Linked DNA regions of Mus musculus: region 2 is reported to be linked to region 1. Evidence: microRNA targets listed by miRTarBase, many of them from high-throughput screens and not tested one by one. Region 1 holds a microRNA gene; the other region holds the end of a gene's coding sequence. Distances are between the middles of the regions.

What was found. The annotated mature microRNA mmu-miR-873a-5p reads GCAGGAACUUGUGAGUCUCCU and lies in region 1 at 7,072-7,092, shown strand. An mRNA with a match to its seed (bases 2 to 7 or 8) in the 3' UTR can be bound and repressed. Matches are read on the target gene's strand: a 7mer-m8 pairs with bases 2 to 8, a 7mer-A1 pairs with bases 2 to 7 and ends in A, and an 8mer does both.
Region 2: miRTarBase lists Ndufaf4 as a target of mmu-miR-873a-5p. Seed matches in the 3' UTR shown: 7mer-m8 at 8,888-8,894 and 7mer-m8 at 8,798-8,804.

Annotation. Positions count from the first base shown.
Region 1 is chr4:36,659,578-36,675,647 of GRCm38, reverse strand. Mir873a (microRNA 873a) reads left to right here and starts at 7,062; the gene lies at 7,062-7,138. All of the region lies in intron 2 of Lingo2 (leucine rich repeat and Ig domain containing 2), which reads left to right. It overlaps Mir873b (microRNA 873b), which reads right to left and starts at 7,138; the gene lies at 7,062-7,138.
Region 2 is chr4:24,894,877-24,910,946 of GRCm38, reverse strand. Ndufaf4 (NADH:ubiquinone oxidoreductase complex assembly factor 4) reads right to left here and starts at 12,864. Exons shown (of 3, transcript NM_026742.4): 1 at 12,645-12,864; 2 at 12,271-12,374; 3 at 5,946-9,253. The coding sequence starts at 12,780. The coding sequence ends at 8,972. It overlaps Gm46848 (a long non-coding RNA gene), which reads left to right and starts at 12,825. Exons shown (of 3, transcript XR_001784261.2): 1 at 12,825-14,257.

The DNA.
Region 1 (16,070 bases):
TAAATATGTGATGTTGAGTTTTAATTATACCTGTCCCTGTTGCACAATCATAATGTTATTTCCACATTTAAACTAATCTAAAAATGATTTTAGGGACACCATTATTGCTGCTTTTCTATATGCTGAGGAATGGCATATTTTTCTTTGACATGTCTTTTTTTTTTTACATATTAGTTTTCTGCTAATTCTAAGCTATACATATAGATTTTTGGTTTTAAAAATGATTATTAATAGTGACACATGGTTCTATATCCTTAATGTGTTGCTTTTGTATATAGGTGTTCAGTATAGACAAGGAAAGTTGAAAGTTTTAGTAGTTACAAACTAATATTAAAGATTTTTTTATAGATATTCTCTGTAAATAAGTAAATTAATACGCCAACAGTATATTCATAGGCTGCCTACATAACTTTTTTGAATAGCCCCAGTTATTGTGGAAAGTGTGGAACAATGATTTACAACCTCACTTCTTTGAACTCAGGCTACTATTACTCTACAGCTGGAAACATGGCTTAGGGAGTGAGAGTGCTTGCTGCTCGTCCAATATGGCTGAATCTGCTGATACCTACCTGTAATACCAGCTCCAGGATATCTGATACCCTCTTCTGCCCACCTCTCAAACACGCACACACACACACACACACACACACACACACACAGACCAAAACAATAAATAAAACAATAAAAATAAATATTAAAAAAGAATATGACTCTTTTCCTGGTATCCAATAAAAATATTTTGACAGATGTGTGATTATAGTTAAGCATAAAGAATACTTTTTGAACTCAGATTTATTTCAACCATTCCTCCCATTCTTATAGATCATGTAAGTTAATAATGTAAAGAAAAATTTAAGTAAAATATAAGTTTGATATTTCCTGAAATCTATTTTTGTTTTTTCAAGATTATGTTCTTAAACTAGTATAAAATCGTATAAAATGTTTATCAATAAAAGGAGTAATTACATAAAAAGCATGGTAAAATGGAAGAATTTTAGACTATAAAACTTCAAAATGATACATCCAGCTTCTACAAATTCTTTACAGCATTTGTATTATCTGTGAGCAGTTGACTTGTGCCTAAGAAATACGTACATTATTGTATCATTTCTAGTTATTTTCCTCACTATGGGCTAACATATTCTATGAGTATTCTCTAGATAATACATTTCTGTAATGAAAAATTGCAAAAAGTTAATTGTCAAACAGTGATAATGGTGTCAAAAGTGATGTCCCTTATTAAGAAATACAGAAATAGTGTGATGTGTCATCATTGTAAATAACATTTCTTGTTCACTCTGAAATAGTTTCCTAGGGGAAAAGAAAAACCCAGTCAGTCTTGAGATGCCACAGTTTCTGACGGTGATGATAGCATCACTATTTGATAATTGTAGTCAGTTAGGTATAATTTGAATGATATTCTGCAGAGATTTTTCTTAGGAATTCATTTCCATATTAAAGGTTTCAGCATTAATGTATAAATTTAGCACCAGAGCTCTGACATCCAATTTATACTGTCTTCCATTTTTTAGCCTCAATAATGCTGCAAACCAGTATGAGACAGTCACAGCTTCATTCGTAACATTATTTGAAAATACAGAAATGAAACTCAATTTAAACACATTGAATGCACATACAGAGTACCTAATGGATGACCAACTCACTCCGACTGTAGATCCCTTCTTGGATTATACCATTATTTTATATTTAATTTTTCTCTTAAACATTCTTTCACACATGTGAACCTGTTATGTGCATTTTACTCACAAACTAAACATTTTTGTTTTCTTTTCTTGTTTTGATTTGTTTTGTTTTTGAGACAGGGTTTCTCTGTATAACAGCCCTGGCTGTCTTGGAACTCATTTTATAGACAAGGCTGGCCTGGAACTCACAGAGATCCACCTGACTGTACTTCTTGGGTGCTATAATTAAAGTTATACACTATCATGCCCAGTCCTATGCTAATTTTCTTTTATTTTATTTTATTTCAGATTTTACTTATCCACTTTATATCATGTTAATTGACCGGGTCACACCTCGAAGAATCCTTCCCTGATCTTTTCTCCCCTTCTCCTCTGAGTGGGTGAGGAGGTCCCCCTGGTATCACCCCAACCTAGAACTTCAATTCTCTGCAAGGATTGGTGCTTCTGGTCTCACTGAGGCCAGACAAGGCAGGCCAGCTAGAAGAACATGTCCTACTTACAGGACACAGCCTTTGGGACAGCCCTACTTTCAGTAGTTTGGGACCCACCAGAAGAGCAAGCTGCACTTATGCTATATATGAGCAGGGAGGCCTGGGTCCAGTCTTTGTGTATGATTTTTGGTTGGTGGTTCAGATCTGAGAGCCACAAGGGTCCAGGTAGAGTTGACTCTGTCAGTCTTCCTATGGAATTCCTATCCTCATTGGGGCCCTTAATCCTTCCTTCTAGTCTTCCACAAGAGTCCCCAAGCTCCATCCACATCTGGCTGTGGGTGTCTACATCTGTCTGAGTCAGCCTCTGAGTGGAGCCTCTCAGAGGACAAAATGTTCCTTTAGGTTTGGTTCTGAAGTCTCACTTCTGATGAAGGTGGAGGGAGAGGCAAAGAATGGAAGTCCCCCTGAGATAGCAGGCTGCCAAGGGCCCTAAGCCAAACTTTTAATGCAAAAACTATAAGGGTAAAGATTGTATCATACAGATTTTGCATTTAATTTACTTCTGTGAAAAACATTTCTATAAAGATTCTCTGACTTTCTAATTTATCATTTATATAAACTATAGATCTGATATACTCTTCAACATCAGAGATGGCATATTAGATGGAGAAGAATGTACAGAAATTAATTGACAAAATTGTGCATTCCCTCTGCCTCCACCATGATTATTCCTTGGAGAAAGTTTTGATCTACTATTAATCTGTATAGGTTGTTTTAAGCAATCTTAAAACTTAAATTGGAATTTTAATTTAGTTTCAAATAAGCTTTATAATAGATAATTTTTATATGTTGGTATTTATCTTTTTATTTTAAAAATATTTTTAAATATTTTATTAGGTATTTTCCTCATTTACATTTCCAATGCTATCCCAAAAGTCGCCCATACCCTCCCCCCGCCCCAACCCCCTACCCACCCACTCCCACTTTTTGGCCCTGGCATTCCCCTGTACTGGGGCATATAAAGTTTGCAAGTCCAGTGGGCCTCTCTTTCCAGTGATGGCCAACTAGGCCATCTTTTGATACATATGCAGCTAGAGTCAAGAGCTCCGGGGTACTGGTTAGTTCATAATGTTGTTCCACCTATAGGGTTGCAGATCCCTTTAGCTCCTTGGGTACTTTCTCTAGCTCCTCCATTGGGGACCCTGTGATCCATCCAATAGCTGACTGTGAGCATCCACTTCTGTGTTTGCTAGGCCCCGACATAGTCTCACAGGAGACAGCTCTATCTGGGTCCTTTCAGCAAAATCTTGCTAGTGTGTGCAATGGTGTCAGTGTTTGGAAACTGATTATAGGATGGATGCCTGGATATGGCGGTCTCTAGATGGTCCATCCTTTTGTCACAGCTCCAAACTTTGTCTCTGTAACTCCTTCCATGGGTGTTTTGTTTCCAATTCTAAGAAGGGGCAAAGTGTCCACACTTTGATCTTCGTTCTTCTTGAGTTTCATGCGTTTAGCAAATTGTATCTTATATCTTGGGTATCCTAAGTTTCTGGGCTAATATCCACTTATCAGTGAGTACATATTGTGTGAGTTCCTTTGTTATTGGGTTACCTCACTCAGGATGATGCCCTCCAGTACATCCATTTGCCTAGGAATTTCATAAATTCAATCTTTTTAATAGCTGAGTAATACTCCATTGTGTAAATGTACCACATTTTCTGTATCCATTCCTCTGTTGTGGGGCATCTGGGTTCTTTCCAGCTTCTGGCTATTATAAATAAGGCTGCTATGAACATAGTGGAGCATGTGTCCTTCTTACCATTTGGGACATCTTCTGGATATATTCCCAGGAGAGGTATTGCAAGCTGTACAACCACTCTGGAAATCAGTCTGGCAGTTCCTCAGAAAATTAAAAATATTTTTATATATCTCTATGGGTATAAAATTATATAAATTGACATGCTTCCATGCATTTGTATACAGCAGGGAGGCTGGAAAAGAATATAGGTGTCCTATAAGTGTCCTGTGTCTACAATTTGATTATTCCTTTTAGCCAGAGTCTTTCCCTGAAGCTGGGCTTATGAAACTGTTATGAAACTGGAAGCTAATAAGCACAACTGTCTTCCTGGCCCACTGTGGAGCTGGGGTTACAGGCCTGTTCTGGATCTTTGGCTTGTTACAGGAATGCTGAGCTTTAAATCCTCATCCTCATGCTGAAGCAAATGCCTTTAACTGACAAGCTGCTTCTCTAACCCTTCCCACTTTTAATTTTTGGAAGCAGGATTTAATGACATAACCTATAAAGACTCAGAACTTAGTATTGCCTCAACTTTTTGTGTACAAAACATGGATAGTGCCATGCACAGTGAGATACACTCATTTTGCTATAGCCATGTATCAAAGGAGTGATTAAGTGGAGTTAATTCTAACTCCTACTCAGAGAAGAAAGCAAGAAAGATATCTACTGTCCTGTAGAGATGAAACTCACAGTTCTAAAAAGGATGTCTCCATCAAATCCCTTCCCTTAAGGCTCAGAGAATCCTGCAGTTAAGAGCATAGCCAGAGAGGATAAAGGACATCAGGATAACAAGACCCTCTAACTCACAGGAGCAAAACTCATATGAGTTCACAGAGACTGAAGGAAAAAGCAAAAGGCCTCTATGTGTCTTCTCAAGGCCTTCAAATATGTGTTATAGCTTTCAGGTTAGTATTTTTATGAAAATCTTGTATGTGTGAATGAGTGACTCTCTGATATTTGTGCCTGCTCTTGTCATCTTTTCCTTCTGTTGGCTTTCTGTGTCCAATTTTGATACGAAGTTTTTTTTTTTTTTTATTTTATCTTATTTACTTTGTGATGTCTTGTTATCGATGGCCTAGTTGGCCATCATTGGAAAGTGAGGCCCGTTGGTCGCGCAAACTTTATATGCCTCAGTACAGGGGAACTCCAGGGCCAATAAGTGGGAGTGGGTGGGTGGGGGAGGGGTGGGGGAGCGTGTGGGGGACTTTTGGGATAGCATTGGAAATGTAAATGAAATAAATACTCAGTAAAAATTAAAAAAAATAAACCTCTTCTTTTCAAATGAAAGACATAAAGGGAGTGGATCCAGATGGAAGTGGAGGTAGAAAGAATTGAAAGGAGTAGAGGGAGGGAAAACTGCAAAGTTTCTCAATTTCTCATTGTAATAACAACCTTTGGAATTCTCTCTCTCTCTCTCTCTCTCTCTCTCTCTCTCTCTCTCTCTCTCTCTCTCTCTCTCTCTCTCCCTCCCTCTCTTTCTCTCCCTCTCTCTCTCTCTTTTTCTCTTCTCCCTTCCTCCCTCCCTCTTTCACTCACTCACGTCCTTCTTTCCTCTCTCTTCCCCTCCCCTCTCTCTTTTCAAGACTCTCTACCATATCATATTTTCATCTGGCCCGTTCCTTCTCTGGATAACCACTTCAACATCACCTTGCTAACATGTCTTCACTGTTGCTTTCTACCACATCTAGTTATGAGTGGAATCCCATGGCAGTTCCTGTCCCTGATATAAGTGTGTTTCTGCTTTGAATAATGTGTCTGATTTATGTGAAGACATTCTCAGTCCCTTGATACAGAATGGAAGTGGCATGCCATGCGTACACTAGAAAGCAAATCATAACAAAGCAACAACAACAATAACAACAAAACCAAAAATCCTACTGAAATGTTGTAATTAATTCTATACACTCTATAAAAGGGATTTAAAGGTAATATTCTTTGTTAAAGCATTGACAGACTGTGTCTTATTATGTCATGGACATAGCAACATAGATTTATCCTGCTAATATGTATTTTGTGTCAAACAGATTCATTCATAACATTTTACCACATTGAACATGTACAACATGGTATGCTATTAGAATCTGTGTATATATCGATGGGGGCACTTTTACACATGACTGTGTGATATTTTTATGGAAAGAACTAACCAGTGGAAGTATAATTTCATATAACTTCAATTTTCTAGAAAAACTGTCCACAGTGACATGTGGTCCTGAGCAAATCTTCACCTGGATATTTGTCATAAAGTCTTGGTCAACAATAGGTCTGTTATCTTAATAATACATCTACAGTCTAAGATCTGATAGGGAAATTAAACCGTAGGAAGATAGTTCACTATTAGAAGACAGTAAAAAGGCAACATACTTTTTATATCATAATAATAACTTACATTTTAGCTAATAATGTGAGATGCTAGTAATTATGTATTTCAAGTTAATAAAGATTGTTAAGCCAAATGCATTTTATTTGTTTTCTGGACTTGCAAGAGAAGACAAAATTTCTAGCAATATATTTGTGTATGTATGATTTATTCCTGAGTGTTTCCAGTAATTATTTTGCAAAATATATTTATACAAATAATAAAAAGTAAAGTAGAATAGCCCAAATAGTACCTCTAGGAATAAGAAAACAGAAACCCCCAAACTGTAAAAGATTCATCATGGCAATTTTGCTGGAATTTGTCTGTGGGGAGTCGGGGAACTAGAATTCAGATCTCTAAGTTTCTATCCCTGAGTTATTTCCATTTCTCCATGAAGTCAAAACCACCACATTGTCCTGAAATGCACTGCCTCACTGAACAATGAAGACTGATGGATCGGCTCAGGCATTATTGAAAATAATCAGGACAGATGGCCAACAGCAGTGCCATAAAGTCAAGAAAGTATTCATCACTGTATCCTCAAGACAGCAATAAGGCCGAGCATAGAAGTTCCTGAGCTAAGATCTGTTGACCAGAGGAACAGGAGTGACTAGTGTCCTGGATTTTCACTGTACTTGATTACAATGATGCGCTAAACCCGGCTAAGACATGACAGACACTACGGCAGGAACTGATTACAGTACTCCTTTGAATTGATGGAAATGTCAGCATCTCCTTAGGAACAACGAGCACCAGCTTAAAATCAGTTTGTGTGCATTTGCAGGAACTTGTGAGTCTCCTATTGAAAATAGACAGGAGACTGACAAGTTCCCGGGAACACCCACAAATCTTCCTACTGGTTTCTACCACCTTGCCTTGGACAGCACTCTGTGACTGGTGTTTGCCACTGTTTAAGTTGCTCTGGAACCCAACTTTATATTTGAGTTACTCACAGAAAATTATTTTTGAAAACAAGAGGACTTTTACCTAGAAAAAAAATTACCTTCACAACTCACGGTGGATACCATTTTTATTAGATCATTTTTTCTGGATTTGAATTTGGTCAAGGAAAGGCATTTCTTCTTAAACTCTGTCCTAATAATATGTTTGTAAACTGAGCATTTTATCAGAGCCAATTTGAATTATTTCTTTTTTTATTTACTTTTCATGAATAATTCAGTAATGTGAATGCCAATATTTATATGAAAGGTTTAGTAGAACTAGTAGGAAAAGAATAATATTAATGTCTACATATATTAGTGTTCTCCAGTTTCTCTAATTATGTTCATTCAAAACTTTATAGACATATAAACATGTTTTTCTAAAATATCATTTCTTATGTTTATGTACATGTGTAATACCAAATCACGTAATTGCCGTTTTATTTCAGGAATATTCAACATATGTATTTAGGGCCACTATTTATAGTGCAAACCAATTCTTAAACTTCTTGATGAAGACTTTCCTAAAACTGCACAAAGTTAATCTACATTTGTAGGGTCATAATTCTTTTTTTTGCATGGTGGTAAATGCAAATATTGAGGAAAGAGTATATGTAGGAATTATGCTACACATTTTGGAAGAGTTTTACTACTTAATATAACAAGGTCATTTATAAAGCTTTTCAGATTTCTTCCTAAAACTTATGAAAAGTATACATTTATATAAATATTCTGTAATAGTGAGTGGCAAAGGCCCCCTTGCTGTTTATTCATCATTCTAAAATTTGCTTTCAAAATACTTATTATTTATATTTTTATGGTTATACTGTGAACTTTAAAAAAGCAAAATCATTTTTATTATTGACTTCAGTTAAAATCCAACATGGAACTCAGTTTTGAGGCTTCCTTCAGTTGGTTTTAACTCTGGAAACTAAGGGTGGACAAATGCTACCACCAAAGGCTTATAGTTTCATCATCCAGTGACAAGAAAATTGTCTTATCTAATAAATTAATCAAACCCTTGTCTATGATAAGCACAGAGAAAATATTCACCCTTATTTCATAGACATAGAAAATAATATTAAATATATATGTCTATTTATTTCAACTGTTCAGGGATCTTCTGGATTAGAAAAGATAACAGAAAATTATCTGTATAACTTTGTGCTCTTTTCACTATAAGGTACACATCATATGTGTGAGATCCTGATTTATATATATATATATATATATATATATATATATATATATATATATATATATATATATATAATTCACTTATCTATAATTATCTTAAATTAACTTTCAATTGTATAATATTTAACTTTCCCCCTAATTTGTTTCTTTCTGTGCTCTACTTAAATGTAATGAATTTCATTTGTTTCAATTCACCTAAGTAAAATCTCATGGGTATATCTCATCTTCTCTCATAATAACAAATCATTAATTTTCTCTGACTCTAGATTATACCTTGATTGTAATCATAACTACTTATGTTATTAAACTGTCTAATTTTTCCATGGCTACTGATATTTGTCTCCTTTGGGTAGTTACCACTTTCTTTATTTGCTACACCAAAATTTGAGTGCCTTGGGATGTGTAGGAATATCATGATATTGTGCATTCCTTTTTTATGTGTGTGATTTTTACTAATTACTAAACCATCAGTCTTAAGAGGAAAGAAAGGGAAACAGCAAAAAAGTGCCCATAATATATTAGCTGATGGATCTGGGTAATCAGTATCATTTTATTTAAACTAATCTTTTTATAAATTTGAATATTATCAAAGCAAAATGAATCTTATTACAATTGATCAAAATTCATTGAAACATGATCTAATTTTTTTACAATGTTAGTCATTCTAGTATGATTTGGTATACATTTCTAAATTTCATATCACCTTTCAATATTTTTAAACAAGTTTTTGCTTTGTTCTATATTTCTTATATCTGTGGCACTCTCTGTGGTCTATTAGAAACATACAACATGTTGGCTGTGGTTTTGTATTACTTAATAACTAAAAATCAGCATATTGGGTGATGGCTTGGTGGGTAAATTGTTTTGTGTGCAAGTATTAAGATTAATTTAGATCCCCAAAACATACATAGAAACTTGGAAGATGTGGTAACCTACTGGCAATTCCTATAGCTGGCATCTAGAGACAGAATATCACATGGTCAGCTAGCTAGGTCTTTGGGTCATTGACAGGGACTTCCAAGTTCAGCAGGATAGGAAATAAAGAGGAAAATACTGAAGGAAGGTGTATAGCTTCATTTCAGCTCTCAATATTCATGCTCACCTGTGCACACACACAAGTGGTCAAACAGGCAAATATGCAGACATACCCAATGCACATACACACAAACACTGTGCTCAAGCAAAATGAGTTATAGAATCAATTTTACAATTATTAAAATTAAAATGAAATTAAGACAATATAAAGCAGCATTTATGTGAGTCTTTCTTTTGATGCTGTTCTTCTGTTTTCCTAAACCTATTGTTTCCCCTGTGACTCTCACTCAAATGAGATTTTTAAAACAAGCAATTTTAAGAGCTCCAATAAATATGGGCATCACAGCATCACAGCATCCAAAATCATAGATCACATTTTCCTAATGAATTGGCATGCTCTTACTCTTCTCTAGTCCATCAAAACATACTCTATTAGAAAACATGACTTTTGGACAACATTGACTTTAGAAAAACAAGTTCTAGTAATATGAAAAAAAGAGAATGGGATAATAATACAATTAAAAATATTTGTCACTTAGGAACTACAATATCTGATGTGGGAATAGTGGGAATATCAGTAAACAGACTCTTATCTTATAAGACTTAATCTTGGAAGTGTGTACCAGAGCTGAGAAAAGAAACATGTCAGAGAGGAAGTCTTTATAATAGCCAAGAGAGCATGAGAAAACCAATGGGTTTATATGGAATGGTTTTACCAATATAAGTCTATCCAGAAATGCACATCTTTACGAACCACTTTTAGGCTTTGAAAATGATTCTATTATTATGTGACCAGTTGTAGCTAATTATTTAGAGACGAAACATAAATATTTCCCATTAAAAATCACAAACAAAAACAAAGCAAACAATAAAACACTGGTTTTTATTCATTTTTAAAAAATTATTTATTTATTTGATTACATCCCAAATGCTGCTCCCCTCGAGGTCCCTCCTTCACCAAGTCCATCCCCTTTACCCACCCTACGCTTTTACTCTGAGAGTGTGTGACCACTTGGGTATTCCCAGACACTGGCAGATCAAGTCTCTTCCAAGTGAGGTGCATCCTCTCCCACTGAGGCCAATCTGGGCAGCCATGAAGACTGAGCTGCCAGTCTGCTACATATGTGCTGGGAGACCTTGTTCCAGCCTGTGTATGCTCTCTGCTTGGTAGCTCAGATTCTGAGAGCTCCCTGGGGTCCAGGTTTTTTTTTTTTTTTTTTTTTTTTTTTTTGACTCTGTAGGTCTTCCTGTGGCGTTCCCATCTAAGTCTGAGCCTTCAAACCTTTTCCCAACTCTTCCACAATGGTTTTAAAATTGGAATAAAATAGTTATTTGAGCACTATCTATCTTATGCCAAAAATCCAGGGGCATGTTCTCCTCCTGAAACTGGGAATCTAATTAAGGTTTCCATAGTCTTTGTCCTCAGCTGCAAAGAAGTCCTGTCTTTAATTAAGCACATCAACACAAGGATTCTCACTTTGCTCTGAATTAATTGGCTCTTCCAATCATTCTTTCTAAAAAAGACTATATTAATATCCAAAATAAAAAGATTCCTGTTTTATTTCAAAGTACAGTTTTATCTAGATTCCCTTCTTTCAGCCTCTATTTACCAACCTAATCACATACTCTGACAAGACTATCTTTAAATGAATCTAGAATTATTACTGTTAGTTTTCCAGCTTAATCATTTTCCTGATGAATTTTCTGCTGTTCTTTGCCCTTACCTTCTAGATTCCTCAATCCAATAGCATGCTTATGTTTATGTTGATGTTTAACTAGAACTTATTTGGAGAGTCTAGTTGCTAACAATGAACAGTGACCCCAGTCCTTACAGACTGCTTGAGTTGCCTGATCTACCAGTATCCTATTTTTATTTATTTTTATTTTTATTTAATTCTTTAAGATTTTTTTTACAGTCATGACTTTATATCTCCCTGTAGGTCCACCCTCAGACTGGTCCACATTGCCCCCCCTCAATCTCCAAGATGATGTCCCCACCCTTTCCAGCCCACTGACCTCCCTACTCCCTGAGGCCTCAAGTTCCTTGAGAGTTAGGTGCATCTTCTCTGTCTGAGTCCAGACCTGGCAGTCCTCTACTGTATATGTGCTGGGGGCCCCATATCAGCTGGTATATGCTGCTTCTACCCTCTTTAATAGTGTTACTTCCTGGGAAACTTGGGGCAATTATCCTCCCTCCTTAAAAACCAGCACAAGTTTACATAGCTATGAATCCATGATAGCATGTCTCACAGTGAATTTTTTAATAACTCCAGAATTGATAATAGCCTCTACTATTGTACATACTACTTCAAATACAGCTACATTGGGTGAATTTTATATTTGATTGCTGACAACTTCTTGACACCAGTGGTGCCATTTGCTCTACATATTAATATTTATCTTGTTTTTCACATTGCTCTTTTGCAAAATGCATTTTAAGTTCTAAATACCAACTTGATAGTGTGTCACTTTCAAAGCAATTTTATAATTTGGAAATTGTCTACTTTTAAAATTTCCAAATTAAATGTTGATTGCATTTAAAGTCAGATAGCTAGGCAGATAGCTGAACATCTGTAATCATCCTTTAAATAGTCCTAAATATTTTCTCTTTTTAAGTCACTTTTTAAAATATTTAACACACTTTAGAATCAATTATGCAATGCCTCATAATAATGTACCAATAGTAGCAAAACTGAGAATAAATTGATCACCTGATAATCACTATTTCATGCCTATCAGAATATTTTTCTGATCAAATTTTGGCAACAGCTGTGATGTAGCTGGCTAATTACCCTTATAATTAATTTCTCAGATTCGTTAAGCATAGTATTATAATAGTATATGCTGGACACAATCTACCATTTTCCCTTTTAAAATTACTTTACTTATTTGTATATAATATCTGTGCATACATATTTTTGCATTGGTACATGTGTGAGCCTCACTTTGCATATGAAGTTCAATGGACAGCCTCAGGCTATTATAGCATTAGATTACAAACATATGGTACCATGTAACCATGTACAGCTTTAGTTGAGTTCTGAGAATAAGACCCAAAAGCCTCATATGTATGTTTATGCATACTGAGCCATCTGCCCTCCACACACTCTATCTTATAAGGAAACGTTCTGAGAGTCTTCAAAAGGAGAAATACTTTTAAACAAAGTAACCTGAGACAAAAAAAAAAGACAAAATAGTATTTTATTTTTGTAATTTTTTAATCCATTCTCATCAGGTACCCCATATTTTTTATAGGCATGCCTGTATCCATTAAGAACACTGAGGAAACAGCATAATTTTCTCTCTGAGATTTTATTCCCTTATATGAGAAATAATTAACAAATGGAATATGTACAATTTGCTGCAAATGGTGGGGTAACGTGGTGTGTGAGATGCTATCAGACTGCCTTTAAGGGAGATGAGGACAATTCATACCCAGGCTTAGGTTTATATAGTTCTTTTTCTTAGGTCACTACAATGCGGGCAGCAGCTTAGAAAAAATCAGCCACCAAACCCAGACACTATTGCATATGCCAGAAAGATTTTGCCGAAGGGACCCTGTTATAGCTGTCTCATATGAGGCTATGCCAGTGCCTGGCAAACACAGAAGTGGATGCTCACAGTCAGCTATTGGATGGAACACAGGGCTCCCAGTGGAGGAGCTAGAGAAAGTACTCAAGGAGCTAAAGGGGTCTGCAACCCTATAGGTGGAACTACAATATGAACTAACCAGTAACCCCAGAGCTCGTGTCTCTAGCTGCATATGTAGCAGAAGATGGCCTAGTCGGCCATCACTGGGAAGAGAGGCCCCTTGGTATTGCAAACTTTATATGCCCCAGTACAGGGGAACGCCAGGGCCAAGAAGCAGGAGTGGGTGGGTAGGGGAGCAGGACGGGGGTTGGGTATAGGGAACTTTCGGGATAGCATTTGAAATGTACATAAAGAAAATATCTAATAAAAATAAATAAACAAATAAATAAAAAAGAAATAGACATGTACGAATGGAGTAATCAACTGCAAGAATATTACAGTGTTTCAGAAGATGTTTAGAGATAGGGTTTTTTTTTTCACTTATTAAAATTTTTGTTTAATCCTATTTTTTATACTCCAGAGTTTATTCCCCTCCAAGTCTACCCTCAAACTGTTTCAGATCCCACACCTCTTCCCTGACCCCCTGTTTTCTCTAGGATGTCCCCACCCTCTCACCCCCAACCCCACCAGACCTCTAAACTCCCTTAAGAAAGAAATATAACTAATGCAAAGATATTTCAGATATGTACATGAATTAAGTGACAAAAATAATTTATAGGTCACTGATGATCAGCCATAGGATACAGCAAAGGTAAGCTATTTATTATTATTATTATTATTATTATTATTATTATTATTGGCATGAGATCCTGAATATGTACCACTGTCAGGCATGGGATAATAAGAGAAGACCAAAGCTGGGAATGGAATTATACATTAATGGTTAGGATGAAATGTTTGAGAACCCATAAAATAGTGGAGCAAAAATAATCTATTTTAATTTATTGAGTTACTGTTGAAATATCTTTATTATATCTCCCAAGGTGGCTTGAACCTTACTATATAGACGCGAATAGAGTCTAGCTCATAGCTGGGTGCTACCTTAGCCTCCTAAGTTCTGAGATTAGAGATATGAGAGCCATATAATATGGCTGTTTCAATTATAGTCATTTGTTTAATTTTCATAGAGACTGCAATATTTCATTCTTGTCACCAAGGATTTTTTAAATATAAGGAACACAGGGAAATACTGACTGAACCAGAGTGTACTCAGCAAACATTAGATGTATCTGTCTGATCTGTTTATTTTTCTAAAGATTTGCATCCAGTAATAAACATCTAACCCATATATGTTCACTGTGGTTTTGTTGACATCAGCTACCCCTAAATATGCTCAGTGCTTGATTCTGTTGATGTGAAATTCCATTATAATGTTTCTCAGTCAGGGTGAACATTTAAAAAGGCTAGTCAATTAAAACTAATAGAGCTGACAACAACTGAACAAAAATGTATTAAGGGCACAAGCTGCTATAATAATTTTAAAAGAATATTGTATGAAAGCTATTTAGAATTTCCTTGAAGAACATTCAATATATCTTAGCCTTTGTTCTAGTTTCAGGTCTGCTTCTCTGTTTAAATATCCTGACCAAAAATCCACTTATGGGAGAAGGGGTTGATTTGTTCTGAGCGAAATGTCAACACAAGAATATGGATCCCATCCACAGTCACATCACATCCACCACCGTGATAGTTTTGCCAACGTGTGAAAAACTAGAGTCACCTGAGAAGGGAAATAATCAACTGACAAATTGTGTCATTAAATTCCTCTGGGCCATGGCTATGGGACATTTTCTCAATTTAAGTTTAATGTGTGACAGTCTAGCTCACTGCAATTGGGGCCACTCCAGGGTATATGGTCCTGGGTTACATAAGAAGCAAGCTGCACAGCTCTTGGAAAGCTAAACTAGTAAGCAGATTTCGGCCCTGTATTAATTCAGTGATGAACTAATTCCTGGAAATGTAAAAAACAAAACAATAACAACAACAACAACAAAAACAGAAAAAGAAGGAAAGAACAAAAGAAGAGGAGAGCAGAGAAGAGAGCAGAGGAGGGGAGGGGAGGGGAGGGGAGTGGAGGAGAGGAGAAGAGAGGAGAAAAGAGGAGAGGAGAGGAGAAAAGAGGAGAGGAGAGGAGAAAAGAGGAGAGGAGAGGAGAGGAGAGGAGAGGAGAGGAGAGGAGAGGAGAGGGGAGGAGAGGAGAGGGGAGGGGAGGGGAGGGGAGGGGAGGGGAGGGGAGGGGAGGGGAGGGGAGACATCTTTGTACTCCCAAATTTTCTTTTCATTATTATGTTCATCATAACAATAGAAAGAAAACTAGGACAACAGTCAAGGGCCTGGAATAAAAATGTACTCATTCTGTCTGCTTGCTTTCCTCATCTTTAATAGGTCCTTTCCTAGGGAAGCACTTATAGTGGGCTGAGTAAATTAACAATCAACACTTCCCCATAGACATGTACACAGGCCAACCTGATCTGGATAATCACTCAATTGAGACTCTCTCCCGGGGTAATTTTAGCCTGTGCTAAGGTGGTAGTTAAAACTAACTGGCATACGCTTAATGAGCTATTTTTTTGATGTTGTTTAGGAAGGGTTCTTCTTATTGGTATTAATTAATGACATTATCATATAATGAGAACTCCAGATAGCACTGAGGACTTCATTTTCTGTCCTGATACTTAAGATGAAATACTACTACTATGTATTAGTCATATGATTTTAGACAAGTCATTTTAAAATTAATCTTGGATCCCTCCACTATGGTATCCCAATGTTAGATATGAAGCCTAATTCTGAGAACTGTCTTAAGAAACAAATAGAACAGTGTGTGTGGCAAGCCTGTGAATACCCCATACTGATAATTGTGGTTAATCCAGGCATCGTTATCAAGTGACAAAACTGACATTGATGTTAGCACATGCTGAATATCCCTCATAGACTTTATCTGTTATTGATATTGTCTTGGAGATTATGGAACTTGGAATTATAAAAGCTCTTATTATTTAATGTCTCTAATTT
Region 2 (16,070 bases), 12 Mb from region 1:
TGAAAGGACCCAGATATAGCTGTCTCTTGTGAGACTATGCCGGGCCCTAGCAAACACAGAGGTGGATGATCACAGTCAGCTATTGGACGGGTCACACGGCCCCCAATGGAGGAGCTAGAGAAATTACCCAAGGAGCTAAAGGGAACTGCAACCCTATATGTGGAACAACAATATGAACTAACCAGTACCCGGGAGCTCTTGTCTTTAGCTGCATATGTATCAAAAGATGGCCTAGTAGGCCATCACTGCAAAAAGAGGCCCATTGGACTTGCAAACTTTATATGCCCCAGTACAGCGGAACGCCAGGGCCAAAAAGGGGGAGTGGGTGGGTAGGGGATTGGGGGGGTGGGTATGGGGGACCTTTGGGATAGCATTGAAAATGTAAACGAGGAAAATTTCTAATTAAAAAAAAAAGAAAGAAAGAAAGCAAAGTAAAAAAAAAAAAAAGAGGAAGGACTATTAAAAAGAAAAAGAAAAAGAAAGAGAGCTGAACATGAGCCTGAACGTGACCAAGTAGGCAGCATCCTTGATGCTTCCTGCTCAATTCCTGCATCCAGTTTGCCACTTGTGCTCTTGGCCTGCCTTCCCCTGACAATAGACTGCAATCTGGAATGTGTAATAAACTCTTTCCTCCTCACGTTGATTTGGGTCAGTGTTTTATCACAGCAACAGAGAAGCAAACTAGGATAGCAGCCTTGCCTTCTCTGTGCCTCTTATCCTCACAGGAAGCAGAGGAAGAACTTTGTCCCTACTTAATACATATTTCAGAATATCAATGCACTGAAAATGACAGAACTTTTGGGATTCTGTTCTAAAACTTGAGTTCTTCTACTATACTTCTGTTATATTCATGACATAGTTTGTTCCACAATAATTTGGTCCTAGTATATGAGAACTAGTTTTTAAAAATGGCAGATAAGCCGGGCGGTGGTGGCGCACGGCTTTAATCCCAGCACTTGGGAGGCAGAGGCAATCGGATTTCTGAGTTAGAGGCCAGCCTGGTCTACAGAGTGAGTTTCAGGACAGCCAGGGCTATACAGAGAAACTCTCTCGAAAAAAACTAAAAGAAAAAGAAAAAGGAAAAGAAAAAAGACAGATATTCAGGATTGCAAAGTTTGCAATTTTATTGGGCCTTAATATGCTGTTGGAAAATTGTGAACATTAAGAAAAAGTTGTCTCCAAATGCTCCATATGAGCATGATGTCCTTCATAATAGAGAATCACCATCCAGAGTTTAAAATTTAAAAATTAAAAAAAAAAAAAAAGAAAAATGGGCAGGCTCTTCCTAATCACCAAAGCCAGAAGGCACTTACCTTTTTGTTTGTTTGTTTGTTTGTTTATTTTTCGAGACAGGGTTTCTCTGGATGTCCTGGAACTCACTTTGTAGACCATGCTGGCCTTGAACTCAGACCTCCACCTGCCTCTGCTTCCCAAGTGCTGGGATTAAAGGCATGCGCCACCACTGCCCAGCAAAGGCACTTACCTTAAGCTAACCTCCAACAATCAAGTCTTTTCTAGGTACAGGGTCAAGGCCACAAATCTCCATAACACTCAAAGGATTTTTGACTTTAGTGTGCTGTGAAGTGACATGGAAAACCAGCCAGCAACACTCCCAGGAGGATCATAGGGCAATCATAGCCATCAAGACTGGAGGTGGCTGGACCCAGAAAAAGCTAAACCCATGCATAGCGTCTTCCTATCTGGCTTATGAACTCTCTCCTCTTCTACATTGCCCTAAACCCATTTGGGATTTTGGCACTGTCCCTGGAATACCACAAGGTCACAGGTCTGACTTGTAAGTCTGTGACAGCCATTTGACTAATACTTCTCCAAGAGCATCCACACAGCCCGCCAAAGTAGGTTTACTTAATGGGACCAGTGTTTGTTGCTTTAAGGTTTCAAAATGTTTTGTTTGTTTGTTTGTTTGTTTTTTCTCTTTCACTTCACTGGCTCATCTGCTTGGTTATACAGGGCAGAAAAAGAACCATAATACACCATGTTTTTGGGCCTGATCCTAAAGAGGATATATTGTGAAATAAGCTGAAGTCACGTCAACATGATGTGAGTATCCATATCATTTACATTTCAAGACTTTAACTACCATCAGCAGGTTAACTCACTCTTTTTCTAGAAAAGTCTCCTACTATGTCATGGTTGTTCCATATGCCACAGTCCCACCCTCAAGCGTAAGTTCTCAGGCCCTCCACAAGCAATAAATGTCCCTGGCTTATGAGCCATCACCAGCCATAGTACCTATTAGTTCTGCATGGTAGCTGATCTGATATTCACCTGCCTCAAACCAGACAGGACAAATGGCAGACTGTGCTACAGCTGCAGATAGATACTCAAGTTTCCTCTGCCAGTCCATGTTGCTACCAAACGGTTTGAAGTCTGTCAGCTCCCCTTTCATGCACTTGCTATACCATAGCCCTGGGCTGGCACTTTCAAAGGGAGCACAACTTGCAAAATTTTTTATTAGATATTTTCTTTATTTACATTTCAAATGCTATCTGCTTTCCTAGTTTCCTCTCTGAATGTCTCCTATACTCCCCGCTTTTCCCCAACCCACCCACTCCCGCTTCCTGGCCCTGGCATTCCCCTGTACTGGGGCATATAATCTTCATAAGACCAAGGGCCTCTCCTTCCATTAATGGCCAACTAGGCCATCCTCTGCTACATATGCAGCTAGAGACACAAGCTCTGGAGGGTACTGGGTAGTTCAAATTGTTGTTCCTCCTATAGGATTGCAGATCCCTTCAGCTCCTTGGGTACAACTTGCAAATTAATAGACTACTGTAATACACATTGCTGTAAACATTCATATAACTCATTTATAGCAGGAGTTTACAGGAAAGAAGATTGAGGCCGGGCAGGTCAGTCTGCATTATGACTGCTGTAGAGACCCCCGCCACACACACACACACACACACACACACTGCTGGAAACTGCTGTTGTAAAAAGACTGTATCTAGTTTCAGTTCCTTTCCAGAAAGTGATCAAAACTTCAGAACTTTCGTCTGTGCTATTGAGGCCAGAGTCCAACTCATGCCATCTAGTGACTTTTAACTGCATTTGCACATTGAAGTATATCTTTTTTTTTAATGAAATTCTTAGTATACTTTATAAAAGTTTGAAATTATAAATAGAAAAGAAACAGAAACATTTAAGATTAAAAAAAAAAAACTAACAATGTGTTTTCTTAACAACATGCTAGTTACCGAAGCATGTCTTTTCAAATGCTTTCTGCTGGGAAATATTCCAATCTTATGTGGCCCCTTTCTTAATCTGCAGATAGTGTTACATGGGCAGAAAATTACACTAGAAAGCAAAGCACACAAATAGCGAGAGCCCCTCAAAAGCCGGTGCATGTTTAATGGTATGGGGAATGGGGAAGTGTGCCCTTTGCATCTCCCTGTGTCTGGACGCAAACAGGTTTTATCCAACCAGAGCACCTGTAAGGACTTCACAGATGGTTCAGGGCCATGACTCTAGGGGTTGACAGTCCCCCTTGTGCATAAGCGATAATGTAATCATTCTAACATGTCCCCCAATAATCCTCTCCTGTTAATATGGTATCGTCTATATGTAATGAAAACAGAGCAGTCCAAAGCCATCATGATATGACTTGACAATTGGATGGTGTCAATATCCCTAAGGCAATAGCTAGGGTGGCCACTGTATTCTTACCCAAGAGAAGACAAACTGACGCTGTACGTGCTTGCGAGGCAATGTTGAGAGGAGCATTAGTTAAGTTCAGACAGCATTAACAAAAGCATGAGCATGATTTTGTTGTTGTTGTTGATTTCTACTACTTTAGTTCATATTAGGTATAGTAACATGACTAGGAAACATCATCACAGCTCCCTGCAGTCAACATCATTTTAAAATTTCTGTCCTGCCTTTTTACCACCTATACTGAACTGTTATAGTGATGGCAGGCAGAATCCAGAATGCCTTATAATTCTTATATGGGCTCTATAATTGCAGCATGTCACCTAGAAACTTATATTGTCTGGTATTTATTAGCTGCTTGATTGTGGGGAGGCTAACAGAGTCCTACTTTTCTTGATTAATACTGCCTTTACTGCCTGAAGTTTGGGTTAAAAACTCCCCCCCATAGAGGTCTGTAATGTCTTTCCTAATAGAGAGTTTGTCTTCTGTATGCTTTTAGAGACTGGGAGATTGAACAAAAACATAGCTGGGAGGGCACTGCTTCCTAGATTCCATCAATTACTGCACAGGGCCCCAGAGACCATTCTGAGTGGCACCACATCAGTGTATTTAGTACGTGTATCTATTAGACCTATTCTTGAAGGACTAGTAGTAAACAATGAGTCTGATGTGAGACCACCGATTGCTGCCTACGGCCTTTACTATGGGCTAACCGTTCCAGCAGTTGGTTATGCTGTAGGAAGGAAATGCCTCACCTTCCCCGAAGAAGCAGAAAGAAAAGTTGGTTGAGGGCTTGACCTTCTTCCGCAGGACTGCCAAGATGGTACTTGTTTGCAAGCAAACCATTCTGCCTCTGCTTTCTTGGCTCAGCCCTCATCTTTTTAGTATTTTTTTGTCTCTTCTCTTTTATGTCCTGACCAGACTTCCTCTCTCTCAGGTAAGCAATAGCCTTGATTACATTAGAAGGACCCTTATCCACCAACTGAGCTGAGGAAGACGAGAAAGGAGCTGTACCGTTCTTGAGAGGCATTTGGTATGTTTCCCCCCTTCCAGGGCACTAAAAGAAAAAAATCTGATTTACTAGGCCATCAAACCACAGGAGCCTTTTGTGTGCCCATTTCCCACAGAATACCTTAGGCTTTGTTGGAGCTTTTCCATGGGGAAGGGGCCGACTGTCCTGGTGGATCTGTCTCCTTTAGGCAAGCCTCTCTCTATTTAAGGAGATCCGATCTGTAAGAAAATGATTTCCCAGGAAATGGCAAGCATTCGACGGTCAACCAGATAAGGGCTTGGCTGGACAGTAACACTGCTCACTTCTCTGCCATAGATACACTATCCCCTCCCACGTCCCAGTCTCAGCTCCAGGCACTCAACTCCCCAAGCAGTTGGCTAAAAGTGTTTATAACACTTAGAAATCCTGCACTAGTGTACTAATGTCCTGGTTTCTAACACAGAAGGCTCTTCACCTGAATATTCAGGACCTCTTCCTTGTACTGAATTAATGGACAGTGAAAACAGCAAGTGCCACAGGTATAAGGGTTCTTCCTTAACGCCTTTCAAGGATCCAGATGCTTTACATTCCCTTCTGATTATGACTGCTCAAATCTGATCAACCTTGTTTTCTCTTGCTCTTCCAAACCCCTCAGTGGAGCCAAGTAAGCCAGGGTTTCTAGCTTAGCATTCTGATCTTCCACTATTTCTGGCAGGAAAGACCCCGAGAAGAGACAGGGCAGAGGGTTGATATATTAGACACAAAGCTTTTTCTAAGCTGTAAGTTTTGCTAACATCACTACATTCTTTACGACAACTACATGGGCATCAGTGGCCACCCAAACTGCTCACAGCAACAGCTCTCTCCCTGCCAATAGCAAGATGTCAGCCTTCCTTCCCCACTGTAGCAAGTTGAGGATGTGGCCATACTCATGGAGCATCTAACACATGAGCCTCCCTTCCCTCATGGATCCAGGTACCACTTCAGGATTCCATTACTCATTTGCTGTCGACTGCTTCAATGACTGTTTTGTAACAACTGTCTTGGTGGATGAGGTGCCATAGCATTATGTAACAAGAAACAAAACCCAGGATGAGGAAGATGGCTCTGCTGGTTCTGCACTGGCACCATACCTGACATGAGTTCAGTACCTGGGACTACATGGTGGAAGGAGAGAATCAACTCACCTTTTGTCCTCTTACCTCCACATACAGGCTCTAGCATGTGTCCACACACACACACACACACACACTTTTTGTTTAAGAAGTAGGCAGGCAGATCTAGGATTGCAGTGCAGTTTATTGGGGACTGATTGACAAAAGCAGTCCTGGATGACATCAGGAGTTGGTGAATTCCCATAAGTTAGAATGACAGTAGTTTATAAAGTAGTCAGAGCAAAAATGACTTCATCCAAACCAGAATGTACCTGGGTTATCTCAAGCTTATATCAGACAGACACATTCCAATTCTACCAATAAAAGCCAATCATTGCAATGAAAAGCAGTGTTATTCTGGGCAGTTATGGCAACTGTGAATGAAGATGATCAGGCTGAACCCATGACTAGCTTTATTGTTAACACTACCCAGTAACTAACCATTGGGGGAGACAGGGTCTCTGGAATTAATCACTAAAAAGCTCTGTATTAAATAGCTATTTATCATATAGAGATTCAGATCAAAGATCATGAGTGTTTAAGTGCACTGAGTAAATATGGAAAGAAGGATGTTCATTCCTGAGCAAACACACAGCTCTTTCAGAGTGATGAGGCACTAAATGATAACATACTGGAGCTAAGGACAGCACTGGGGGATGGGGGGGGAGGGGTGCTGCAGCTGGGTTAAAGAGTTTGAGGACAGCTTGGCCTACACAGTAAGATATTACCTCAAACACCAACCCACTCCAAAAGTAAAAGGTAAAGCTAAGATGTTATATCAAATGGCTTTGAGACAGTCTTTGTGGTTGGGTGAGCTTACCTGAGTGTATCTATGTGTGTCTTGACACTAAGTGGTTGGTTTTGCTGGTATGCCTAAGTTTGGATAGCCTATCTCTTTAGAGTAGAACTTTACCCAAACCACCCACTCTTCTGCTGCAGGCTTCTTCATGAACAGCTCTCTCAGCTCTCATTTTTACAAAAGCCAAATCTAGTTTTTTTCTCCTCTCCTCCTTATTCAATTCCATTCCTTCAAATTCAGTTTCCCATTCCTCACTTTTCAAAATAAATGTGAGACCCCAATACCAGTCACTGGTCAGTTTTAGAGCATCTTTGATCTAGAATCCATTTATTCAGGGATTTTAATCTTGCTATCCAGTCTCTCATAGCAGAGAGCGTTTAGTCATCTATTAGCCCAGAGCTCTACAAAGGACTTACAGAAGCAGACATTTGAGAAGTTTTGGCCCTTTGTGCTCAGGTAACCCGTGTATCAATTCACATAATTCTTACAACTCCCATACAGGCAATCCAGTGTAGTAGTCAGTACAAAATATTCTATTTACTCTTCAGTATCCACTAATCTTTGTAGTTACTGAAGTTTCCCGGGCTGCAACTTTCCCAGGAAAGCATTCTTAACTTCACGCTTGTTACCACAATGCTAACAAAGCTAAGACATGTAAGGCACCTAGGTTAGTGTCCAGTATATAAACTGCACTTTAGTTGTAGACAAGTCAGACACAGCTAGTTAAGGAACCGACATCTAAACTCCGCTTTTCCAAATGTAAATTTCATGCACCTTGTGTGACGTTACAATTGGTGTTCTACATGAAAGAAAAAACCAGAAAAGTGGGCTAATGTGCAAAATGGAAGGATTTTATTGTGTGATACCAGTTAAGAAACCATATTTACATCTGCTAGCCACCCAGGAAACCTGAGTCAGTACTGCTGATTCACATATTCATTTTGAATTAATGGAGGATGGTTTTGACGGCACTTTCCACCATAATCAGCAATGATTGGAATTAGTAGGTTCCCTTAAACTTCTGTATTGAATCACATATAAGTAGGGATAGTTTCTTCACTGGAACTAGATATGAAGAAGCTGACAAACTCTCCAGTCACCTCCCATCTTTGCTGTTCCATCTGCCTCCCTCCATCATCGCTGGATTCTTCTCATCTTCCACATCTTTTCCCGTGGAATCTCGAGGCAAGTATGTCTGTCTGTTCCCGTGAAAGAATATGGACGAGCCCAGTTACCCCAACTCCATTCTGTCCTTTTGAAATGTATTTCATTTTACAGAATAAGTAAAAATACTACTAGGATTTCGAGAACCTAAATTCTGGCTTCCTTGCATCATAAACTACAGGTAACTCTGTTGTGTGTTTTGTAGACACCCATTTTAACTACAAGACTTTGTATTTGCCTGGTCTTTTGTCATTTATCTTCATTGTTGTCCTGGAATTTATATAAGGCAGGTATACTTTTATAGAAATTCAATTTCAGAGAGGTCAAACAATATGGGCAAGAACCCACAAGTATAACATGCCAGAATGAGCCAAACTCATCTCACCTTATCTGAGATTCTATTACTGGAATGTAACATTCCAGAGCTTAAGTGAATGAATTGGTAACTTTCTAGGTCCCTTCAGGGATTTATTCTATACTTCTACTGGTTATTTTTCCTCCTAAAATAAAAACAGGTATGAATGTTTGGTTATCAAATTGGATTCTCTTATTTTTAGCTGTTCTTTCATACTTCTCTCACTTCTAAATTAAAGAAGCTATTTGTTCAAATAATCTTTAAGTATTGCCTCGCTCTTAGAAACCTTTTCAAGTTACCTATTTCTATTTGTCAAAAGAGAGACAGCCAGCATGTCAGATACCACTAATTCTTCTATAAAATTATTTAATATTTAAAACAAATTTAAAACATTAAAAAGATCCTCATGGATTTTTCATCTCTAGAGTAGTAATATGTATTTTTCTTTCTTTTCACTCAGTTTTCTCTCTTTCTTCACTTGGGAAATATAGTCACTGTGTTTCCCTGCTGATTATCTGTCCCTAACACAATGCCAGTCTTATAGGAGTCAGGAGGACTCTTGCTTTCAGTGTCTACTACAAAGAACAAACCAACTTAAACTAGAAAGTGGAATTTAATATTGACTCATTTGGGCCACATGATCAATACAGCTAACATATACCCAGGAACTACACATACATAAATTTTTAAAAAATTATATGAACAATCCTGAGGAGGTCAAAGAGCTTTCAAACGTTATGGCCCTCAACTCACAGGAACTTGTATAATTTAATACACGCAAAACAAGGGCGCGGAGCTTGGGAACACATACAGGGGAAGTTGTTTCGTGATTTTCTTCATTTTGATTGTATTGCTTTCCTGTCTTCTGGAGGTAAGATTTTGACTTCAAAAGTAACAAAATATTTGAGAAGGGAATTTACATCCTTCAGTTCTAAATAGTACTCTTGAGCGATTTTCTCAGCAGTCCATGTTTCTGGAGAGAGTTTATGGTTATTGAGAAGGGTCAATGCCTCTACAACAGTAATCTTGCCTTTGGGAATGTCCGTGATATTCTTATCAAAGTGATTTCCTATCGGCAGTCTGAATTCCTTTGGTTCTTGTCGTGGTTCAACTTTTACCTAGTACCAAAGAAAAGGGTTTAGGATAAAATATTTACATCTTCCACAACTCTTAAGTCTAAACCATTTCTTTTCAAATAAACACATATATACCTCCTCAAACTTTGATTTTGCACTGTACCACTCTTTTCCTAACTATAGCTCGCTAGAAAGCCTCTATAAAATTGCAACTGCATGCACACCATGAAATTATAGCCACTGAGCATTACTGACCCAAAAATGTGAGACCCAAAGTGCTCTAAAATCCAAAACTTCTGAACTCCACCATCATGTCCCAAGTAGAAAGTGCCACATCTAACTTCCTGTGATGATCAGCAGTCAAAATGTAGGTACACTAAGAATGACTCATCAACCTGCCTTCAAGCTTGAGTTGTATATGAAATAAAAGCAAACTTCATAATTAAATTTGGATCCTCCCACAAAGATGCTTCATAATATACATACATATATTCCAAAATGAGATCAGGTCCTAAGAAGCTAAGTTAAAGAAACCTCAACTTGTATATGAGAAGAATGAGAACTGATTAGATACGCATTACACCTGTTTCGAATGAGCAGCACTCTAACGGCGCTGTTAACAGCTTACTTGAGAACTGTCTTCCAGCCTTCCCTCACTGATAAACTATTACCTAGATGTGTAAGACGCTTCTGGTCAGTGTTATCACAGCAAAAGGTAGCCCATGCATGCACACATGCACGCACGTGCAAGGGTGCACACACATTCACTTACGTACAGATTTTGAGACTCGGTCTGTGCATAAGCATCCACAGGCAGGTGGATCTCGTGAGTACCCACCTGAGCTTAACCTCAGTCTCTGTGCTTACTACCTAAGCCGTGCCAAGGATTCCCTTTCTCTTCATTTCCAGCTATTCCTGCCTATACTACTTCTAGGCCAATATCAAGGTATTTCTCTCCCCGCCCCCCGCCTTTTTTTCAATGACTCCCCAAAGCCCTTCTGATAAATCTAAAGTTTCTTGGCATGTTCTTCATGATGCAGCCATTACCCCAAGTCCCCTTCAGTCTCCCCTTGTTGCATACCGTACCTAAGCAGTCTCCCACACTCACTCACTCCACCTTCTTGTTCCCACTTGAGTCTCAGGCACTCACTCTTTTCCTCTTCCACTTCCTAAATCTCAAAGTGTCTCTCATCTTCCAAACCCAGGTACATCTGCCTTTCCCTCCATACATACAGATCTGGCTTTTCCACTTGACATCAAGATGAATAAAATTTAACATCCTCTTTTCATTTAGTGGAAAGGCAGAAAAAATTTACAAATTCCACATAAATATAAAATATTAAGAAAACAAAAAAACTGAAAAACTACTTCCTAGCAGATATGTTAACTAGTTATGTCAATAGCTAGAAAATAAAAATCAATTATTTTCCTGTGCATTAAAATGAGGGGAAGAAAATTTCTACTTAATAATAACATCTTTCTTCCTTCCTCAAAGACCTTCTAAAAAAATTAGAAGATCTTTACCTCTCTTTAGTTAAACTGTGAATACAATCTAATTATCATCAAATCTAAACAAGGCTTACTAAAGACACTAAAAATCTGATTCCCAAGTTCATTTAGAAGGAAGTGATTTGAGAAGATATGAAGCTTTTTTAGGTTATAACAGTCACCAGGATGTGTCATACCACTTTATTGAGATAGTATGGGTCTAGTGGTAAGAAACAAAAAACACCTGGTCTACAGAGTGAGTTCCAGGACAGCCAGAGCTACACAGAGAAACCCTATCTTGGAAAAAAAAAAAAAAGAAAAAGAAAAAGAAAAAGAAAAAGAAAAAGAAAAAGAAAAAGATGAAACAAAAACCAAACAACCAATAAGTCTATAAACAGAAGTCAGAAAATTAGTAAATAAATTATAGTTAGGTGACTGGCACCTATTTGAAGAGGTTAAACTGGTCACTTCAACAGACTAAATACCAAGTATAATATCAAATAAGTATCTTTACACAAAAATCACACACACACACACACACACACACACACACACACTCACATGCACCTCATACTTAGCATAAATGGGAAACCCTCCTTCCAAGTATTGCTGAGCTTAAAAATAATACACTATGGCCAACAATCAATGTATCTTTATTGTGTGAAAATCTGGTACTAACTAAATCCTACTGTCACTATTAAATTATGAATATTATAGAAGTAGCTGTAATTGCAGTCTTTTGCTCAGTATTAGATAATACAAAAAAGTTTTGTAATGAAAACAAAAAACAAAAAAAACTTTGAGGGCTGTGGCTGGTACTTCCTCTTCATTTAATCTAATTCTTTGCCTTCCAGGCTGCAACTTCAATTTGCACTCCAGGCCCAGGGTTAAATGTCACTTCCTCAGAAGCAGCCTTTCATCTTCCCCAGCCCGTAATTACATTATAGTTGTACAGCTGCTCATCCACGGAATGGTCTGTGGTCCGCAACGTACCATGGGCCTCAGAGAGTAATTACTGTTTTAATCACTACACACAACACTTACACCTGACACAGGAGACATACCCATCATTCCAGCATGCTATATTAACTTACATATAATATTACATATCCTGTTGGGACACATCCTCAAAACTATGAACGTGCCCCCACTCCAAACCCCCAAACACTGAGGTTGTCATTAAGAGCATCTTAATTTACAGAATATGAAATAGCTCTCAAAGTCATACTGGTCACTCAGAAAACCACTAAAAAATGCCGTAACCCAACCCTACAACTTCTGCAATAAACAATTCACACAGGTCCATCCAATCAATCCCTTCACAGGTCTTTCGGTATACCCTAAGTATACCCTAAGTATACCCTAAGTATACCCTAAGTATCGAAGGGGGTCCAGGCCTGCCTGTGTCTAGCTGTCTGTGCTCTACACTGACTGCTCCCCTCTACACACACACACACACACACACACACACACACACACACACTTTGCACTTTCACTCGTTGCCCTCTTTTTCTTGATCACTTTCTCAGACCTCCAAAATAAACTGCCAACTTAATTAACGTATACATTACCGGCAAGGCAGGCACCGGATCTTTGGAATCGACATATACATCTCTTAGCAATGACAGCAGCTTGTTATCTTTTTTAGAAACAACTTCTTCGATTTCTGGATACTCTAAGGAAAGAAAATAAGCCATAGTATCTTTTTTTTTTTTTTTTAAGGAAAAAAATCTCTAAACTCGTAAACATGTACAATATTAAAAAAAAAAATCATCTGGACATCTTGGGGCAAACACTTGGACGAGAGTCTGCGTGCAGCCTGCGCAGACGCCGGGAGAGAGCGCGGGCTGCCTTGGGCTCCGGGATTCCTTCCAGCCGCCACCACCCGGGGCCCGCGCGGGGACGACCTCAATGTCACCGGAGGCCTGGGAGGGACTGCACTCACGACTCCGGTGCTCCTGCAGGAGGTCGCGGGTAGAAGGGTGCTTGGGTGCCATGGAGGGCTTCCTCTTGCTGATCTCTCGCTCCGCTCGCTTCTCCACGTTGAAGTTCCTTAAGGCGCGGGTCACGCGAGCCCCCATCTCTAAATCATGATGCCCTTAGTTCACTACGCACGTGTAGAAGCCACCGGCACCGGTGACCTCTGTACGCACGGAGCATGCGCACACCAGGGGCCAGGCACCGGTAAAACGCCGAGGACGCGCTCGTCGCCCCCTGGTGGCCGGGAGGACGCACCCTGGACTCCGCCCCGCCCACCCTTCCGCACAGGCGCATGCGCAGACATCTGGGCGTTGTCAGGGACGCCGGCCGGCGACTCCGGAGTCTTTAAGGATGAGCTGCTGTGATCCCACGGTTGCAAAATCCCGAGTAGCCAGTGTGGAGCGGAGATCTTCCAACCTCTTCAGAGGGCAGAGCGCAGGGTCAAGGTTCTGAATTTACCTGCCCATGCTTTTGAGAAATTGAGAATATTTGTTCTCAGCCGCAATTCCATTCTAACAGCCCTTATTTTCCTGTCCCTTGCCTGGAGCTTTCTGAGCCAATTTTGTGTTGGTTTTGTTTGTTTGTTTTAACTCTTTCACTATCTTGACATACCATTTTCCTGCCACTTTGTCCCTAGTGCTATGAGTTTTAGGCTTTCCTTCCCCTTCTCTCATAAGTAGTACTAACTTGACATACTCCTCCATTAGCGCTGAATCACCGTGCTCTTCTCAGCCCCATTTCTCAGCTCTACTGCCTCTCGAGTCTCTGTAATCTTGGCAAACCCTGGTGTAACTTAACGCTGTATTTGGAAAAAGAAAAAAAAAATCTACGGTACACATTCTATCTTCCTTTCCCCTTCTCTTCCACCCACCCTTTGTCTCTTCCTTCTTTTACGTTTCCGAAAGTATTCAATGTGATTGGCCCATAGTTTTTAAAGCCCACCAGCAAGAAAATAAGTTTTCGAATTAATATTTTTCCCAGACTGTGGTTGTGAAATCTATTAAAGATTTTAGCCTGGTTGGTTAGGTGAATAGATTAGTTGTGTCTAACCAACTTAAAGAAAAAAATTAGGGGGAGGGGTTTTCATTTTTTTAAGGACTATTACTAATTAAACTGTTTCATAATAGAGAAAACACTAGAGGGGTAAAGTTCTCACTGTTGCTTATGAAACCTGTCTCTGGAGATGGGTTATGTAGAAGCTAAAACCGTGTTCAGTGAGTTAATTTGTTAGTTATCCTGAAGGTGGCAGTCTGCTCCAAGATTTCCATCTGAGAGCTTTTTAAACAAGTTCATAACTGGGTGCCTTTTTTTTAAAACCAATTTCTCTGGACATCAAGAAATGTTCCTTGGCCTCATTAAGTCTGTTCTGTGCTTTAAGAATTATAGTAGCAATTCCACTCACTGCCTGCTAAAGTATTTTAAATTTTCATGTGATTCCACCAAACTTAGGGCTACATGAAAGTAACCTTACACAAGAGTTTCGAGTGAGTCCAGGACAGCAGATAGTACAAAATTAAAGATCTGTGAATTTCTACACGCAGGAAAGCTTGGATTTGACACTGGAAGAGACAGTGGCAGGTGAGCCTATTGTTTTATCTAGCCTTGGCCTGGGGTTACTCAGACCCTTAAAGACCAAAACAAGGCAGAGAGGCTCCAGCAGAACCCACCTTTGGCTATCTTACTTTGGTAATCAGAATGGAAACAAAATCCTGGACCATAAATCCATAATTTCAGCTCTTCTTGTCAAGACATACAATGTAGCAGAAGGTCTGAACTTAAGATTTTCTTTCTGGCTTCTGCCTGAGGATTGAAGGCAGACCCTCAAGGGAAGTCAGAAGTCTGCTTTTCTCTCAGCCAAACTGAAGTAAGGTTGATAGCTGATAATGAATGATAGTGATGAACTCCAAATATCACCAAAACAGTAAAATGCTAGTTTTTGAGAAGAGACATTTTCCTTTGTTTTGTTTCGTGCTGTATGCCCAAATGGTGCCAGGACAAAGTGGGTGTTTATGCCAAGATCAGTTTCAATCATTGACTAGCATGCTCTTTCCATGTGATGGTGTTGTTGAACCTGGGAAGGCTGGAACATCAATAGGCATTATAACAAGGGTCTAGAATGCCATCTGCCTTTGCCTCGCACTCGCAGCAGTAATAGTCACCATCAGGTAGAACCTGCAAGCTTCCCTCACCATTGTGTAGCAATTTCCTCCTGGTTGAACCTTCCCTCCTAAAGCAGGAGGGATGCTTATGAGACTCAGGAAGTCAACAGAGCTTACAAATCTGGGAAAGCTGAAGGCTACATGTTAAAGAAGGCCACTGAATAGTGCTAGGGAGAGGAGGATTAGAGGTGAGGAGCTGCCTGCCCGTCAGACAAAGAGCTCCAGAATTGCTGTCTCAGTGAGCTGTTACCCAGATCGCAGCAGGCTGGTTAGTGAAATGGCTCCTTACTAGTCATCCCGTTCCTCTAATGTATTCCAGTGAGTAACCCTCCCCCCAAAATTCACTGGCTTCCCAAGTTGGACTCTGGTGGAATTATATACTTTATCCATTCATTGGTTCCCTAGCTCCAGTTAGTAGACATTTATTCACGTCTTCCGAAGAAGTGTCAGGCACACAATACTTACCCTCCTCAGTTCTCCTCTCTGCCTCTACTCACCATTACACACTCCTCCCTGTACAGAACACACTTCAGTGTCCTACAAGGCATTTTAGAACTTACACTCAGGAAGTAGGTGACTCAAGTTCAAGACATACGCTAAAGGCGTTATAGTGAGCAAGTTGCAGATGTTCGTGGGTCTCAGAAATATCTTTGTGGGATATTGATGTTGAGGGAGAATCTCTCTAAAATCTGCACTACAGTACAGGAGTCAATGGATTTGTAAGAGCCCAATTCACATTATTTCTGAGGTTGTAGGTTTGGCTAGTTTTATAGTGACATGGAGTTACTTGTTTGTGAAACTTGCAACTGGAATCAGAGGCACCCAGACTTCAAGACAAAAGGCATTAGTCTTTTTGTAGATCTAGTGTTCAAACTAAGGAACTGTGAACCTTATAAATCACAGTGAAAAGAAACACAGATCTCTGCTCAAAAGAAATATATTATGAGCCAAATATGAATGACCATAGCTTGAGAATATAGATTCAGGTTGTCCTAAATGATATGATCTAGTGTGGGAGTGGGTATGTAAACTTTTCATAAGCCAGAACAAAAGAGCCATAAATTAATGGGCTTACCAAATATACTTATTGTGGCAAGGTTACCTAATAATAGCAGCTGCTAAAAGGGCTATTTGTTTTGGTTTACAGTCCAAGGCTATACAGACTATCAAGGCAGAGAAAGCATGGTAGCAAAAGTGAGACACCTAGTCACTTTGCCTCTGCATTCAGGAAA